Linked DNA regions of Drosophila melanogaster. The protein of the gene in region 1 interacts with the protein of each later gene in a pairwise test. Each region holds a gene or a part of one and is shown in the gene's direction. Other genes may lie near its edges.

Region 1 (8,230 bases):
AGTAAATGACTAAAACCTTCAATCAGTTAAGAATATTGGATTCGTATGTCCCTTAATTAAGATACATTGCCTTCAAACAGTTTTGTCGCCTGAACTTTGGCATATTGTGATTACCTTCCCGCTACGTTGTCGTTCATGACTCCGCAGTGCGTGTGTGTGTGTGCGCGTTTGTGTGTGACAGCGCCGTTGGTGCTAACTGTAAAAGAGGGAGGTGGGAACTGTGACTGTGACTGCGACTGGTGACTGCTGAATTGGTGACCCCGACACTACTTGTCCACCCAACCTCCGCCACTCCAGCGATTCAACAAACGCCAGCGACATGGCAACACAGCGACAACAACAATTACACTGAAGAAAAATGTGGTAATATAAATATTAAGGGATATATTAAACAGGTACTATGTTAATTAAACCAATTGAACTAAAACATTGATAGCCAAAAGCATGTGACGTAAACTAGGAGTTAATACTTAACCATACAATTTTCGCAGTGTTTACAACGGCAACAGTAAAACAAAAAAACGACGGGACTGGCAAAAAACTACAGCAACATGCTCACGTCGCTGACGACGTGTCTCAAGTGCGCCCCTCTCTTTTGGCCCCACATATGCCGGTCTCTTTCCACCGAATATAGCCGTCCCTGTCACGCGGTAGTAGTGTTTGTCTGTTGTAATTCACGAAATTGCCAGCAATCGATATAAACATCAAGTCCCAATGCGTTTCGATGTCGCCCCCTCTCTTTCTTTTTTGCTCGCCTGCTATCTCCTTCTGCGCTTCATTGTTGTTGCTGTCGGCTTCTGGCCATGATCCTGTTGACGTTTTGCTCTTGTTGTTGTTGTTTTGGTAGCTAGTCAAGTATCGAGTATCGAGTACTTGGGAGGAAAACAAAAATTGTTTGCCTGGCTTGTTTTTATTTTCATTTTAGTGCTGGCGAAACTGACATTGATGATGATTATTGGGAGTAAATAGAATTGAAAATGCCACCAGTAACCTCCTGTGCTCCTTGCTACGTTCTCAAGGCCCAGGACACGTGTGAGTATCAACATCTATCCTGGCGTCTATATAGACAGCCCCCCCCCCCCTTCCCCAATTCCCCTCAACTACCATCCTTCGCATAATGCGCGCAAATAAATTGCAAAATCAATTGAGCGGTAAAATAGTTTCCCTTCGCGGAAGATAACAACAACAAATCGAAAGTCAATGCTGCTGCCACGCCCACACCATCGCCTGCGCCTGAAAAGACTGAAAATTGAAGCCGGGAAAATAGGAAAGCAGGAACCGAACTCCACTCCCACTCACATGGTAACGCCGAGCACTTTGAACTCGCTTTATTTTAAGCCTGAAAATGGAAAAATATAGAGAAAGGAGGCGTGGCAGGGCAAAATGAAAATGGAGCAGCAGATGTTGGTTTATAATAAAGTATAAATAAAGAACAGTATTTCTATTTCTTTTAAATATTTTAAAAACTTTCTTTAATCCTCTTCGAACACAATTATCTAACCAATATGGTACTGCCAAATATTCCTTAATTTCTAGCCGCTCCAATTGAATTTATAATTTTATTAAAATATCCTAAATGAAAATGGTGAGCCCTGGCTAGCTAATGGTTATGTTCCAGCAAGTCTGCTGCATGAATTTAATCTAATTAAAATCCTGGGAAATACCCCGTAATTATTCCCACTCGTCGGCGACTTGTTGCATACTTTAAGGAGCCTTTAAGCTGTCGCATTGCTAAGAGTCGGTCGCATTACGCATACGCCGCATTGTGCTGCGGCGGTTGGCTTTGGATTCATTAAATGTTATAAACTCATTACGCGTTTTGTCTGCCCGAATGGATATTGGATGAAGGGTGTGATAGGAGCTGAGGTGACAGGTGGTGGGTGGTGGGTGGTGTGTGTTGGGTGTTGGTGTGGTGTGAGTACACCCGAGTTGAACGAGAGTTGTTGGTTTGCTGTAATAACCACAAAACATCTGCGAGCACCACATACTCGCACACAGTTGCAAATGAAAATCTTTGTGCAGAATTAATTAAGTAAACAATACGAAAATTGTGGAAATTGCTTTGAATGCGTCCCCAAACACTCACACATAAGCTGCTTGGCCACACATACATACGTATATGCAAAAGTTATTGCCAGCAGCTGTTGTTGTTGCTCTTGTTGTTACACATTATTATTATGATGCTGCTTAATAGGCAACGCAACTGTGGGCAAAGCAGGCGGCTGGGGGCGCCTTTTGGGGGCATCACAGCCCCTTTGGCCCCTCCCCCCCTCCTAATAACAATCTAGCCATTGTCTGCGGCAACAATTAAGCCGCACTCTGCCTTAATGATAGAGCCACATGAAGAAAATGGCCAAAACAAAGGAGAGCAAAACTCCAAAGTGCATGAAAGGAAACTCGAAGAAAATGGCTGGGAAAATTCAGCGAGCATTTGGGGGGCGGACAAAAAACTTTTGATCATTCATGAATATTTAATCGGAAAAGCGATTGTCCCACTTCGCCAAGAACCAAATTAAATTCATGCATACAAACTATATGCATTTTATTACAATATCCGTAGTATATAAAGTTTTTTTTACATTTAAAGTCGTTTATTATCTCTTTAAAACGCATTTTTCAAGACCTAATGTCCAGTGTTCTTTTCTTCTATCATTCATTTAAGCATTGATCATTGTTTAGCTTTCATTTTAGGCATTTATCATTCAATTTACAAACTTTGAGATACATTCCAATCGGCACGTCTTTACCATACATTTTTTTTCGGCCGAATTGATAGTGTTGAACATAGAGTTGACATTGAGGCCAGATAAACAGAAATACAGGTGGACAGCGGAAAGAAGCTACAGATAGATATGCAAATCGATCGACTGCCAAAAGCAGAAATCGCCAAAACAAAGCCAGAAGAAAGAGGGGAAGTAGAAATGGTGATAGTGGACGATTTGAAGACGAAGCTTTGGGGCTCTCCCAAGATTTAGATGAAAAACAATGGGGCGAAGACAACGAAATTCGTTTGGCACTTTACTTGCGCATCATTAGCGTTATTCTCTCTTTGCTTTCGTTTAACACATATTGGTTAGAAAGCTCGGCCAAAAAGATAAAAATAATACGGTTGGCGAGGGGCGGCAGAGGGCGGGATTATATTATGGTTTATCTCTTGTGAGCTGAACATATTTTATGAGCGCGACATAAAAAAAAAAAAAACAGCGTTTTGGGTCAAAGTTTGTAAGTTCTCCGCCATTTGGGTTGTCGTAAAGGCACTGAAAAAAATCGACGGGCAATCAAATCACTTAAAATATAATAAATATCAGAAAATAAATATTAGCATAGTTTTCAAGTATGTAAAGAGGTTTTTGAGTATATGATGTTTAAGTATTAAGTATTAAGATTACATCCATTCTGCTGACAACTCCCTTTCTCTCACTGCATCGAGAAAGCGTGTGCCCAGATCAACTCCCTCTGAAGTTTATGGCTGCACTAAAATTAACCTATTCGATCCGAGATGAGGCCTGAATGCGCCGCCTTGTCTTTCGGTTTTATTATCGATTTCGATGCTGTGCGGTTTGCTCAGCTGCCAAAGTAAACTATAAGCTATAAACAACAGCCATGACAAGACAGAAATTCGTCGCTACCGTTTGCTGGATTCTATGTCAAGATCAGTGAAGTGCCGAGTACCGAATACCAAATACCAAACACCGAAAAACCCAAAGCCGAATTCCCAGCCGAAAGAAATCGAAATCGAAGTCAAAAAGTCGTTACAAGCTTTTTTTGTACTTTCACTTGTGCAAACACGCGGCCAAGAACGCCAAAGATGTTTAGAGCTCTCGGAGAGCAGGGTCATCAGCATCACATACACTGCGCGAAAATACGAGAAATTCATGTACTGTGCATCTGTGCTATATTAATGTATCTCAAGGCATAATGCTGTTGAAGGTGTTTAAACTAAGTTATAAAATTCATATATTTAAGAAATACTTTATACATATTTATATCTGATCTTTTAATATATTATTTCTAGTGCTCTTCAGAACCATTACTATGCTTGCTTGTAATTTTCCCAAGTGTACTTTTCCATCACGATCATCAGCGTCATGATGATCATCGTCTTCACGGGTCTTTTGGAGTTACAAGCGAGTCGAGTTCTTCAGTAGCCAGCCACGGGGCAAACCATTCGGTCCAGAAGAGCGTGTCTTAAGATCTCGGTTAACTCCCCCAGTTCTTCGCTCCTCTATTTCTTTTTTTTTTCTGGTGTTGCTCAGTGACAGTGAGTGTGCAAGTGTGTGTGGTGTTTTCGGTGGTGCATGACCCTTTGACCGCATGCCCGGTCACGTGAACCACCTTCTGCTCCTTGGCTGCCTGCTCTGCCTGCTCGGCGATGTGCCGAGAATCGAGGCTTTCCACCGCTGGAGTCCCATGATGAAGGCCTTCCGCTATCTCCAGGAGACCATGCTCCGGAATAGCCTGGAACGTGCCCATCTCAATCATGGCATCGTCTTCGAGTGTCGCACCATGTAAGTGGGTGTAGGTTTTGTATTCAGCTTTATTCATCTGTTCTTCAATTTTAAAGTTTTTTCAAACAATTTTATAGTTTCCATAATAAATGCGTATTTTTAGCTAAGAACTTCGACTTTTTTCCAGATCAGCTAAGGATTTTGGTAATGAAGTGCATTTCAATCTGCAGCTTGGAGACCTTCGAGGATTTCGTCGCCTCGATCCTAACAAAAAGTTGGCCCTATTTTTGCACGGCTGGAATGATCAGGGCAGCAAGGATTGGGTGCAAGAGTTATTGCTAAGTATGTATACTCACCTTATCCACATAATCATCATTCGAATTTCGGTTCTTATACCCAGCTTGGACCCTATTCGACTCCAATTACAATGTGTGCGTTGTGGACTGGGGAAATCTGTCGCAGAACGACTACAAGTCCGCATCCATGTCCATTTTCGATGTGGGTCTAACGGTGGCTGGAATCATCATGGCCCTGGAGGAGCTGCGTCCCAATCACTTTCATCGAAGCAACGTGACCTTGGCGGGCTACAGCTTGGGTGCCCATGCCGCTGGATATGCGGGCGCAGTGTTGGAGGGTCAGGTGGAGCAGATCATAGGCTTGGATCCCGCTGGACCGCTGTTCTCGCTGCCCGCCGAGGTGGCGCCCAAGTACCGCCTGGATCCAGGAGATGCGCAGTTCGTCCAGGTACTTCACACTTCCGGCGGCTCCTTGGGCACCAGTCTGAAGTGCGGCCACGCCGATTTCTATCCCAACGGAGGCAGGGCGCCGCAAACGAATTGCAAGATGTTCGCCAATCTGCGTGACATGCAAAATACCAGTAAGTCAAGGCCATCTATATCATAGGATTATTTCAAAGATAAGCCGCTTATTTAATATGTAATCTCGCTGAAGAGCTATGAAATAAGATACAAACCATTATCATTCGGCAGATCCCGTTTCCTGCAGTCACTCGGCGGCTGCGATCTTCTTCCGGCAATCGATGGATCCCGAGTACCCGTTCGTGGGCTACGAGTGCGGCAGCTACCGGGAATTCGCCGCCGGATATTGCGATGGCAACCGGAAGGCGCGCTTCGGTATCCATTCGCAGAGGCGTGCGCAGGGTAGCTTCTATTTCCGCACCGCCCCCCAGCAGCCGTACGTGCCGAGGCGTCAGACCAACTGGCTGAGCGGGGTGGGGCGAATGTCGTCGAGCAAGGTCAGTCAGGTTAGCCAAAGCCCCCTGGTGCTGCGCCTCTGGACGAACAGCTGGCGGCGGCGCGAGCGAGCGAGAGAGCGACAGCGAAGAGACAGAGACAGAGAGAGTGATCGCTGTGCGTGAATAAGTAGTTCCTAGTGTTTTGTTAGTGTTAAAATAAACGCAGCCTAAATGTATGCAATCATTTTATGATGGAAAAGAGACGTGACAGCCTAAGGGTTAATCAACAATCAACAGCACATTGTTGGATAAAGTTTACTGTAATAATATGTCTAACAAAACAATGTATTTTCATTTCACTTTATTTTGTGCTGCGATTCTATTTATAACTCCCACAAACCAATATTCCTTAAAAAAAACAGATGATACTTAAGATACTTAAGCTTACTTAAAATCTCTAGCGAGTTCATCGTAATTCGCCGAAGTTTCTCACAAGAATATAAATCTCTAGAGCGTTTTTATTTTTTTTTTTACTCTTAACGAACGTAGCAGTAAATATTTCCGTTCAATTTGGCAGCCAGCCGGTTTTCGCCATGTTCTTGTAAACTGCATAAAAAATAACAAGAAAGCCAAACGGCCAAACACACATGGAAAAGTCGTTGACTTGCAGCCACAAAACGGCGAAAAGTCGGCTGCATTTAACAGTTAATCGTAAAGCAAAATTGTGAGAGAAAAAGAAAATAGAAAATGGAAAATGGAAAATGGCGGAACAAGAACAAGCAGCAGAAAACAATAAACTGAAATTCAATTTTCGCATTGTAAAACATAATTTTCTACAAAACTTGACGTCAGCTTGGCCCGCTTTTTGCTAAAAGGTAGTTAATATTTTTGCAGTCCATTGCGGCCGTGCCCCGCCCCCGCGCCCCTCTCACAGCACCGGAAAAATAAGTATGTACTCTAGTAGAAAAATCAAAAAAACTATTTAAGTCATATGTTTGAGTACAAAATTTATTTAAATATCATGTAATAAACAAACATTAAATATAAATCCTAATTTTTTAATAATATTGTTATTAAACTAGTTGTTTGAATTAATCAGTCCGCTACTTATATGTTACAACGTTTTTTCGTCGAGTGCAGCTATCCCGTTGTACATTCCACTCGAGTTGTTCTTGCTTTTTCCCGTTGCTCCTTGCCACTGTTGTTGTTATCGTTGTTGTTGCTCCGCCTGCTGCTTCCTGTTTTGTAGCTGTTTTTGAAATTTATGGCGGCGTCGTCGCCTCTGCCGGCGTCGCTGCCGCCGACGACTTCTTCGCATGAGTTATGCGCTTTTTATTTCCAGCTCCTGGCCACGTTAAGTGTTAAATTGTTTTATGCATGCACGTGTGTGGGAGAGAGAGAGAGAGTGAGCAAGAGAGGTGTCAGTAGTGGTGGAGAAAGGGAGGGCGAATAGGAAGCTCGGACTCGCCATTTAATTATGAAAGTTGATTTCAAGGAATAGCGAAAGCGGGAAAGAGAAAGCCAATGGAATGTGTGTGGCTTTTGGTCAAGTGTTAGTGTTGTTAGTGTTGCAACAGGATAAGAAAAAATTTGAATGAAATTCTAAAAAAAAGCAGCACACAGAACTATTATCTAAACGGTCGCACCTTTTAGATTTGAAATGGTGAAATGGTGAATGGCATTTGACAACATTTAACTTTTAAGACACATAAATACAAAACTGTTTACAATTCCTTGAGCCTTGTACACATAATGGAAAATAATAAACTCATGAAAAACTCATGAAATTTAAGTGCTCTTTTTAAACTTATACCGTTTAAGCAGTATATGTGTTTTATTTGTTTTTATTGCCCTTAATTTCTGGGCAACCAAGCAAAGGTGAATAAAGGGAAGGGAACAAGAGGGAAAAGGAGCAGTTTTTTGTGCTCCGCTGACTCGAACCGCTAAAGTAGCACGCGTTAATGCGAAAATCACTTACACACACACTCAAACACACACACACACACTTGCAGTGGTGTGCGAGAGAGACAGGGAAGAAACTCCTGTAAAATCTAAAGCAAATTAACGTTTTAAACACCTCAAAAGTTTCGTGCATTCTCATGGTCCTTAACTCTAAGACCCTCTCTTTCTTTTTCCTTCGGCCGTCTCATTCTTTTCTATCCTACCCTCTCATTCTTTCCTAGCCCGCCCTCTCTATTCATTGCACCTGACGTCCTTGCTGATCCTGGCGCAAAGTTAAGTGTTTCTTTAGCTTAATAACGGAAACATTTTAGTTGCTGTTATGGAAAGCAGCTGGAGAATGGAGACTAGAAAGAGAGGTATAGAGGGCTGCACAGAGAGAGAGGCCAGCAGGCAACTTGAGCGATAGACGCTTACACATAAACACATTCAAACGCTTCCGGCAATGTGTAATAGCTGTACAAGGACGAACTGCTCCTGCTCCTGTGGAAAATGTAAAAAAAAAAGTACTCCGGAGAGGTGGAAGCGAGGAAAGAAAGGAATGCCCTCCAGTGGCTGTAAATAACTCGCAGCAGGTGCCGTCCTCATCCAACGGTAAACGTCCGACGTCCAACTCCCTGCTACGTCC
Region 2 (8,230 bases), 6.0 Mb from region 1:
TGTGATTTAAAGTGAATAGTTTTTCAAGCAACGAGAATTAGCCTAAATCTAAATCTAAACCTAAACCGCAAACAAAAAACAAATCCAAACCGAATCCAGAATCCAGAAAACCAAAAACCCAGACGAATCAAAAAATCGAAATGAAAACATTTCAAATGGACAGAATTATTGTGTATTTCTAACGACTTTCGATGCTTGATTGATTATATTGAACCGAATATATTCCTATGTATATGTGTAACTACTATTGGTAAGCTTACAACAGCTGCAGTTATTTGGGCTCTGCTTTTTCGCCATAGATGGACTTACTTAATTTTAGTACATTCTGGACATTCTGGACGGCCATTTCAAAACTAATGCTGTTTCAAAACTATGAATAAATTATGAAAAGAAACCTTTGTAACATTTAAATAATAAAATATAATACGAATACGATAATCCTATTGTTTAACTTAAACAAGGAGCAATTAACGTGTTGATCAACCGCTCTATTTTGCGATTATTAAAAATGCGCCAAAGTAAGTCCATCTAAGGTTAATAATACATAATGCATAATACAAAATACATACATAATTGCATAATTACGAACGCACTTTACGAATTGTCAGGAATTTTGTACTCCAGCAGTAAGTTTAATTAAACTATTTTTCTATCACAGCCCAAAACGGAACAAAGTAACGTGTTATTTCTTTTTTAATCATTTTTTTTTTGTTAAGAGTACTTTGTTATTAGAACGCGCATCCCTCAAGTATGTTAATATCAGAACCCTTCTCTATGTATGTGTGTTTCCGTGCAAATTTAATTACGTATACGTTATGTTTATATATATGTATGTATATGCCACGCGATCATATATATGCGCACATATATGCGCGTAATTTGATTTGTAATTTAATTACTGTTTTATTTGCCGACGACAAATCGGCAAATTCGATGAAATTATTTATTTGTAATTAGTTATTAACAATAATTGAGAAGAAAACAAAAAATGGAAACAGAAAATGCTGTCAAGAAAAAGAAATTGAAAATTTAAATAAAATAAAACATGGTCATGTAATAAACATACATACAAACATACATATTTAAATGAAAAAACTGAAGATTACTAACATTAATTTATAATTTGTGTCATAGCCGTCAACTCAGCGTTATATCTAGAATAAATAATAAAGAAAATTGTGTTAAGCAAATGCTACATACATATATCATTTAATGTACGTGTGCACATATGTACATGCCGAAAACATTAATTAAGAGTTTGGTCTGTCAGGATTAACGGGTTAATAAAACTGGCATGCTAATAGTCATACATTTATATGCAATCAAATTAAATTTTTTTTCAATCAAACCACCCGCTCATTTTCTATCAACTTTAGCCTGCCACATTGTAGTCGCAATTAGTTTGCAGTTCGGGGATTCATAACGAAACTATTGCCGAATGTGGTACTAATATGATATCTTTTATATAAAAGCTTGATATATTAAAATGAACTTGATATGCAAACAATCGGTATTAATTGTAGTTAATTTCCAACAGTCATAATTGTGATATCTTTGACCAGATCCAGAGATATATCTTCTGATATAGTACGCATAGAAAGGCGAACTATCCTTCTTTATATAGAGAAATAAACATAGATAGCCTACTTCAGCTCGTGACGTCAAGAAGCTTCTATCTGTAATGGGGTTTCTAGGTTAGGAAGTCATCCTGGGATGTTAGCATAAAAGGCAATAACCCCACAAACTCGAAGGACAGTAAGACTTCCACAACATTGGCAGGTGTTTTATTCACTTTCAGGGATACTTTTCTAATCGGATCCTTTTTTTCGGTAATGTATAAATCTAGAAGTCATCTTTCAATGGATCTTAATGGTAAGATGTAAGCATTGTTTTTGACTTTGCTGCAATAATTTAGCACCAAGCTGAAATACATTTATCGTTTCAACAATATAAAGATGAGAGGTTAAAAAACAAGTGAAATGTTTGCTTATCAGTAAAACCGATGACTCACTGAAAAGGAACGAACTTTTTTGCCCAGCCCAAGTATTAATAAATAAACATGACGCACTAAAATATTTAATACTTATTCGAGAAATAATTTATAAAATGTAAAAGATAAGGCAACAGAAATGTTGAGTTCTTGTCAAATTGCATATTTCAACATTTTAATGTTGGCGCGCTTATTTGAATTTTCACTGCTATGTTCATAATTAAGGGTTGCACTGAAAACAAATCGATAAATATATAAAAAGAATGAAAAGAATAAAAAGAATGTTAAATGATTACAATATCGATTATTCAGTTTGGGGAAGGAGAAATGATTAATTTGCAGATACCTTTTTTTTTACTACAAATGATTGTATGAATAAAATACTCCCAAATTAATTGATTTTGATTATATATCGTTCGTATACATATGTTTTAATATTTATATAAACGGGATCTGCTGATTTTAAGAACATATGTATATACATGTTTATATATAATAAAAAAAGGTAAATGAATTCTGCGTGACTCAAAAGGTCACATTCACTTAGTTTTCATCATAAAGTTATACAATTTCGTTGTTATGGGTACATGGAATTTTGTGACTAACACTATTTATTACCATTAGCGTTTAAAATTCATGAAATTTGGATGCCTACTTGAGCTGTCAGGTGTTTTTCATTTTAACAATGGGATGACAACAGCACAATTGCTTAAATGAAATCATCAAAACGGATAATTTAATTACTTAGACAATTATTTCATCTAATATTGTAGTTATGCATAGAAGATATATACATATTTACATGTATATGTATCTTTGTACATATGTACATGTATTGTACAGATTAATGTCACGTACCGGCGAAACTTCAATTTGCTCAGAATATGACCTCTAAATTTTAATATTAATGAAATTGATGAATATGTATTTATGTGGGGATGTTAGGATTTTTCCATTTGCATTTACTTATGTACATATTTATGTACAATATAACCAATTGATGTTCATCAGACGTGCTCATATATGTGTATGTTTCGTGTGCCTATATATGCACGTATGTAATTGCCGGCAACTAAGCTCACAAGAAAGCTCAACTTCCGTCAACAAAATTGAGCAGGTGAAATGGCCATAAAAATATCCCAATAAACATTTGTCCGTATAAATTAAAAAATCCATATACTTTATAGGTCACTTTAACTGTCTAAGATCAGAAGTTTTTAAAGTTAAGCGTATCTTATGTACATATCTACTTATTATATTCATATAATGATGCTTGCAAAAAGTCTATTGGGTAGCATTGAGCTTTCACGTTACTGAGAGCAAAAGCTCTTTTTTATTGCGGTAGCCGCTCTCGAGCTTGACATGCACGTCCTTCATCTGACTTTGAACAATTTTTCGCCCGAGTTTTCGCCCATAGAAAGCGCTCAAAATTTCTCAGCCATCACAGTCGATTCCTTGCAAGCAAGCCGATAGGTAGTGTTTCCCTCAATTCCGCGGAAAACTTTCCAAGTACTAACTGCTTTACATATACATACATTACTTTCCAGATAAACAAAAAGTTAACCATGTCGAAGATTGGTATCAATGGATTTGGTCGCATCGGCCGCTTGGTTCTCCGCGCCGCCATTGATAAGGGCGCCAACGTTGTGGCCGTCAACGATCCCTTCATCGATGTGAACTACATGGTCTACCTGTTCAAGTTCGATTCGACCCACGGACGTTTTAAGGGCACCGTTGCCGCCGAGGGCGGTTTCCTGGTGGTCAACGGCCAGAAGATCACCGTCTTCAGCGAACGCGACCCGGCCAACATCAACTGGGCCAGCGCTGGTGCCGAATACATCGTGGAGTCCACTGGCGTGTTCACCACCATCGACAAGGCATCCACTCACTTGAAGGGCGGTGCCAAGAAGGTTATCATCTCGGCCCCATCCGCCGATGCTCCCATGTTCGTTTGCGGCGTCAACTTGGATGCCTACAAGCCCGACATGAAGGTGGTCTCCAACGCATCGTGCACCACCAACTGCTTGGCTCCTCTGGCCAAGGTGATCAACGACAACTTCGAGATCGTCGAGGGTCTGATGACCACCGTTCATGCCACCACCGCTACCCAGAAGACCGTCGATGGACCTTCCGGCAAGTTGTGGCGTGATGGACGTGGCGCTGCCCAGAACATCATTCCAGCTTCCACTGGAGCTGCCAAGGCCGTGGGCAAGGTTATCCCCGCCCTCAACGGTAAGCTCACCGGAATGGCATTCCGTGTGCCCACTCCCAACGTTTCCGTGGTCGATTTGACCGTGCGCTTGGGCAAGGGTGCGTCCTATGATGAAATTAAGGCCAAGGTTCAGGAGGCCGCCAACGGACCCCTGAAGGGTATCCTGGGATACACCGATGAGGAGGTCGTTTCTACCGATTTCCTCAGCGACACCCACTCGTCGGTGTTCGATGCCAAGGCTGGCATTTCGCTAAACGACAAGTTCGTGAAGCTGATCTCTTGGTACGACAACGAGTTTGGCTACTCCAACCGCGTCATCGACCTGATCAAGTACATGCAGAGCAAGGATTAAATGTGGAACACCAAGAACACTACCCACCCACACTCTACGTAAAAGTTAAAGATTAGGGCGCGGTAGAATGGGGTGAGACACTTCAGAAACGGCCTGAAAATGGCATCACATAACTTATATATATATTGCTCCCCGGTGGAGCATCACCTACATACATATGCGCTATGCTCTGAAATGCTACTGTTTTCGCTCTTCAATTACCAGCCACATTGGAAAATTATTAATATAATACATCCATTATACACATAAATATGTTTACTGTTGTTGAATAAAGTTTCACTCTGTGTGTAGTTTTAAAAATGCCGACTCATAAGCATTTAAATATTTATTTTTGCCTTTTTATTTGGTATAAACCGTTGAAATACCTAAAATAGTATGAGTATTACTTTAAATTGTTTTTTTCATTTGCTATATTTGGAAGTAATATATATATAACAGAAATGTGTCGATATTTTTTTTAAGTCGATTGGTTTTTGAATGATTACATAACTTGTTAAAGTTTTCAAATAATTTTAAATGAGCCTGATTCTATGGTATTGTTATCGGCAAAAATCGGGCTTTTACAGATTTCGATAAGAGCGACCTTAAACCCTTCAGTTGAAGCAATGTATAAACAGAAGTTATCGATATTTGGAGAGACTAACGGTGGCATATTGTCTGTGTAAGCCTGGCTTTTTGGATACATTTCTGAGAAAATAATGTTTCTCTGCCGATTTATATTTGCATAATTGGCAAATATAATCAAATATTTTGGTTGACTGCATCATTTCAACAGCACTTCACCATTATATCGTTATCGATATTTAATCGCTTGCTATACCGTCTTTTCGATTAATTTTCTCACACGGGCACACTAATTTTCAGAACATTTTAATACTGGCATGTAAATAAAATAATCAATTGATGAAACCTTAAAATAAAATGTGAATTATTCAACATGCAGTAGCAACAAACGGACACAAATCAGCATAAGAGTTCAAGACTTCTGGTTCTTGATGAATGTAAATGAAAGTTACCGAGTGAAAACGCCATAACTTGTGTAAAACTGACGGGGCGAACAAAGAGTATGTTTTCCGAGCGAATTTAACGATTGTGCAGTGTGTGTGTGGTACACATTTTCCCCAACGAAATATAATGAAACATAAGTGCATCGGGTAAAATCATCTCGAGTTCACATCTTACGTATGTGCGTAGTGAACATAAATCTGTATACATATTGGTATATACATATGTATGTATGTTGGAGATATACGTGCGGACGCTTTAATAATTAATATTTATAAACGGTGGCTAAACATTTCGAATATCTTTGTTAACATTATACCGTAACTTGTAATGTTTTTCAATGCAAATTGTACACATGTATAGAAATTTTAATAGATGTTCAGTTGCACATGTGCAACAGTGCGTTTCTCTATACATATGCTCATCTATTTTTGTGCATGTAATTTTAACATTTCAATGTTGTTCATGAATGAGTTTTGGAAAATATAGTCCAATTTAAATAGCGGTTAAAAATGCTGGAAAAAGTCTTGTAAGAATGTGTATTTGGCTGCAGATGTGAACTGTTTATACATACATATACATATGTACATATGGCACTGTCGTATTGGCAACTTCGTGTGTACATAAGAGTATATATGTGTGTATGTATTTTGTGGATTTAAGAGAAACGAAATATTAGAATGTAAAGTGCTTGCTTTTAATGGTTTCAAAAATGTAACAGTGGAAGTTTGTAAAAAGATTCATAATATTTCTACTTTTGCTTAACAAATTCCCTTCAAATGCAAAGCAAATGCTTGCTGTTACAGCTTTAAAATGTGATTTTCTTATTTTTCTAAGTGGGAATGTCCCATTTAGTTTCAAATATATACATACATATGTGGGTCAATGTAGCACCTACTCAAAAATCTATGTATGTACATAATATAATGGTCCCACTTTTCGTTGTTTATTTTGTCGATATGTTGCCATGTATGCGTGCATGTGTGTGCTAATTTATATCTTTTAAAACAATATCTTCCAGATAAACAACATTATTTAGGCTCGAAACAAATTTTTCAAGGCTAAACTTTCCTGCAAACATGAATAACTTTTGGGGGCTCTAGGATTTTAAGCTGGCCAATCGGTTGGCTTCTTATCAAAAACAGTAAACAATTGGATCTCGAAGACTGAATGCAATAGCACAGGTTTGTACTGGTTATTTAAATAAGGTATATGAAAAACTAAAATTAACAAGAGATTCTCTCCAAAAACATTAAAAATGCATGTCCTGCGAGTTTTTTACATGTGAGGGGGCGGAAAAGGCGTGGCCACAACTTGAAACAACTGTTAACTTTTGTTTTTCGATAACATAACATTAAAATGTTAGCAGCAACAAGATTAACATTGATGTTTATAGGAAACCTATTGTTTTTTTTTTTAGCTAGAAAAGAATGATAATATAGTTACTTTGATATTAACAATATTATTTTCTTTTTTCTTTAAAAATATGTTACTAAATTTGTTTTTATCTTAATTTCAGAAAGATCTGTCTGGTGTCATCATGTTCACGAGAAAATACTTTTTTGTTAAGGGTTCAAGGAGTTCCCAAAGCTGAATTTATAAAATGCTGAAAGAATCCTTGCACAAAAAGGTAACGAACAAATAAATTATATAGTTGCTATGTTGTATCTTATAGATCGCTTTTTTTCAGAACCAGGTTGTTATTAACGCGCTGCTAAAAACCGTATATACAGGCATTAGAAGCATGAAATTTAAAGATATTACCCACTGTGCGTGTCCTGCATAGAAGCACCTACACCAAGTACCGCAGACAGTTTAGTATTTGGCATCTGAACCTGGCACTACACTCAAAATGGGAGCCAACACGTCGAGCAGCAGCTATCTCACGGCGGCCTCGTCGGGCAGCGGAGCCAATAGCAATGCCAGCAACTCGAATGGGAACCTATCGGCTATGCCCCCGGGCATGGGGGAGATTCCAGGAGGTGGCGGTGGATGCTCGGGTGCTTTCGGAAGCAGCAGTAGTTGCGGCCCCAGTGGGAATGCAGGTGCAGCTCCGGGCATTGTCATCAGTGGCGCTCACTACCATCGGGATCAGCGACGGAAGCGTGCCACCGGCTTTGCGACACTCAAACGCAAGTTCATACGACGACGGCGCTCCTCGAAAGCCTGTGATCACGCTCGCGTCCTGCGCGACTTTGTATCCGATTGGGCACCCGTGGAACTGGCAGCTCTGTGCGAGGAGTTCGAGGCATTGTCGGCTCTGAGGGATTTGTCGGTTAGCAAAACGAAAATCGAACACAATCCGTGCGCCCATGTTAATCACTTCCCTTCCGTTCAATTCCCATTTTCCAGGTGCAAGCTGAACTGGCACGACCGCCGGCGGCAACGTTTAAGCAGGACCTGGCTGCCATCTATGAGAAGAACTTGTGCACCGATTGTGATCTGGTCTTTCGTGGAACGATATTCTCAGTCCATCGTGCAATATTATCGGCACGCTGTGTATATTTTCGGGACCTGCTGGCAGGATGTCCTGGTTTCGGTGCGCGCATATGTCTCGAACTACCCACATCCCCCATTGATGTACAACTCTTCTCGTCGCTATTGCGCTACCTATACACTGGTGATCTGTGCCCCCATGATCCTAACATTGACATTACTCTATTGCGGCAAT

Evidence for each region.
Region 2: the proteins of CG1986 (region 1) and Gapdh2 interact in a two-hybrid assay, tested with the Drosophila melanogaster proteins (one large-scale study listed by BioGRID).

Annotation. Positions count from the first base shown.
Region 1 is NC_004354.4:9,907,040-9,915,269, reverse strand, and holds CG1986 (uncharacterized protein), read left to right. Parts: upstream 1-4,143; 5' UTR 4,144-4,314; coding exon 4,315-4,508; intron 4,509-4,635; coding exon 4,636-4,790; intron 4,791-4,848; coding exon 4,849-5,325; intron 5,326-5,437; coding exon 5,438-5,826; 3' UTR 5,827-6,607; downstream 6,608-8,230.
Region 2 is NC_004354.4:15,864,781-15,873,010, forward strand, and holds Gapdh2 (glyceraldehyde 3 phosphate dehydrogenase 2), read left to right. Parts: upstream 1-3,364; 5' UTR 3,365-3,463; intron 3,464-3,537; 5' UTR 3,538-3,555; coding exon 3,556-4,554; 3' UTR 4,555-4,881; downstream 4,882-8,230. Other genes in the region: CG16952 (uncharacterized protein), read left to right, coding at 7,412-7,834, 7,912-8,230.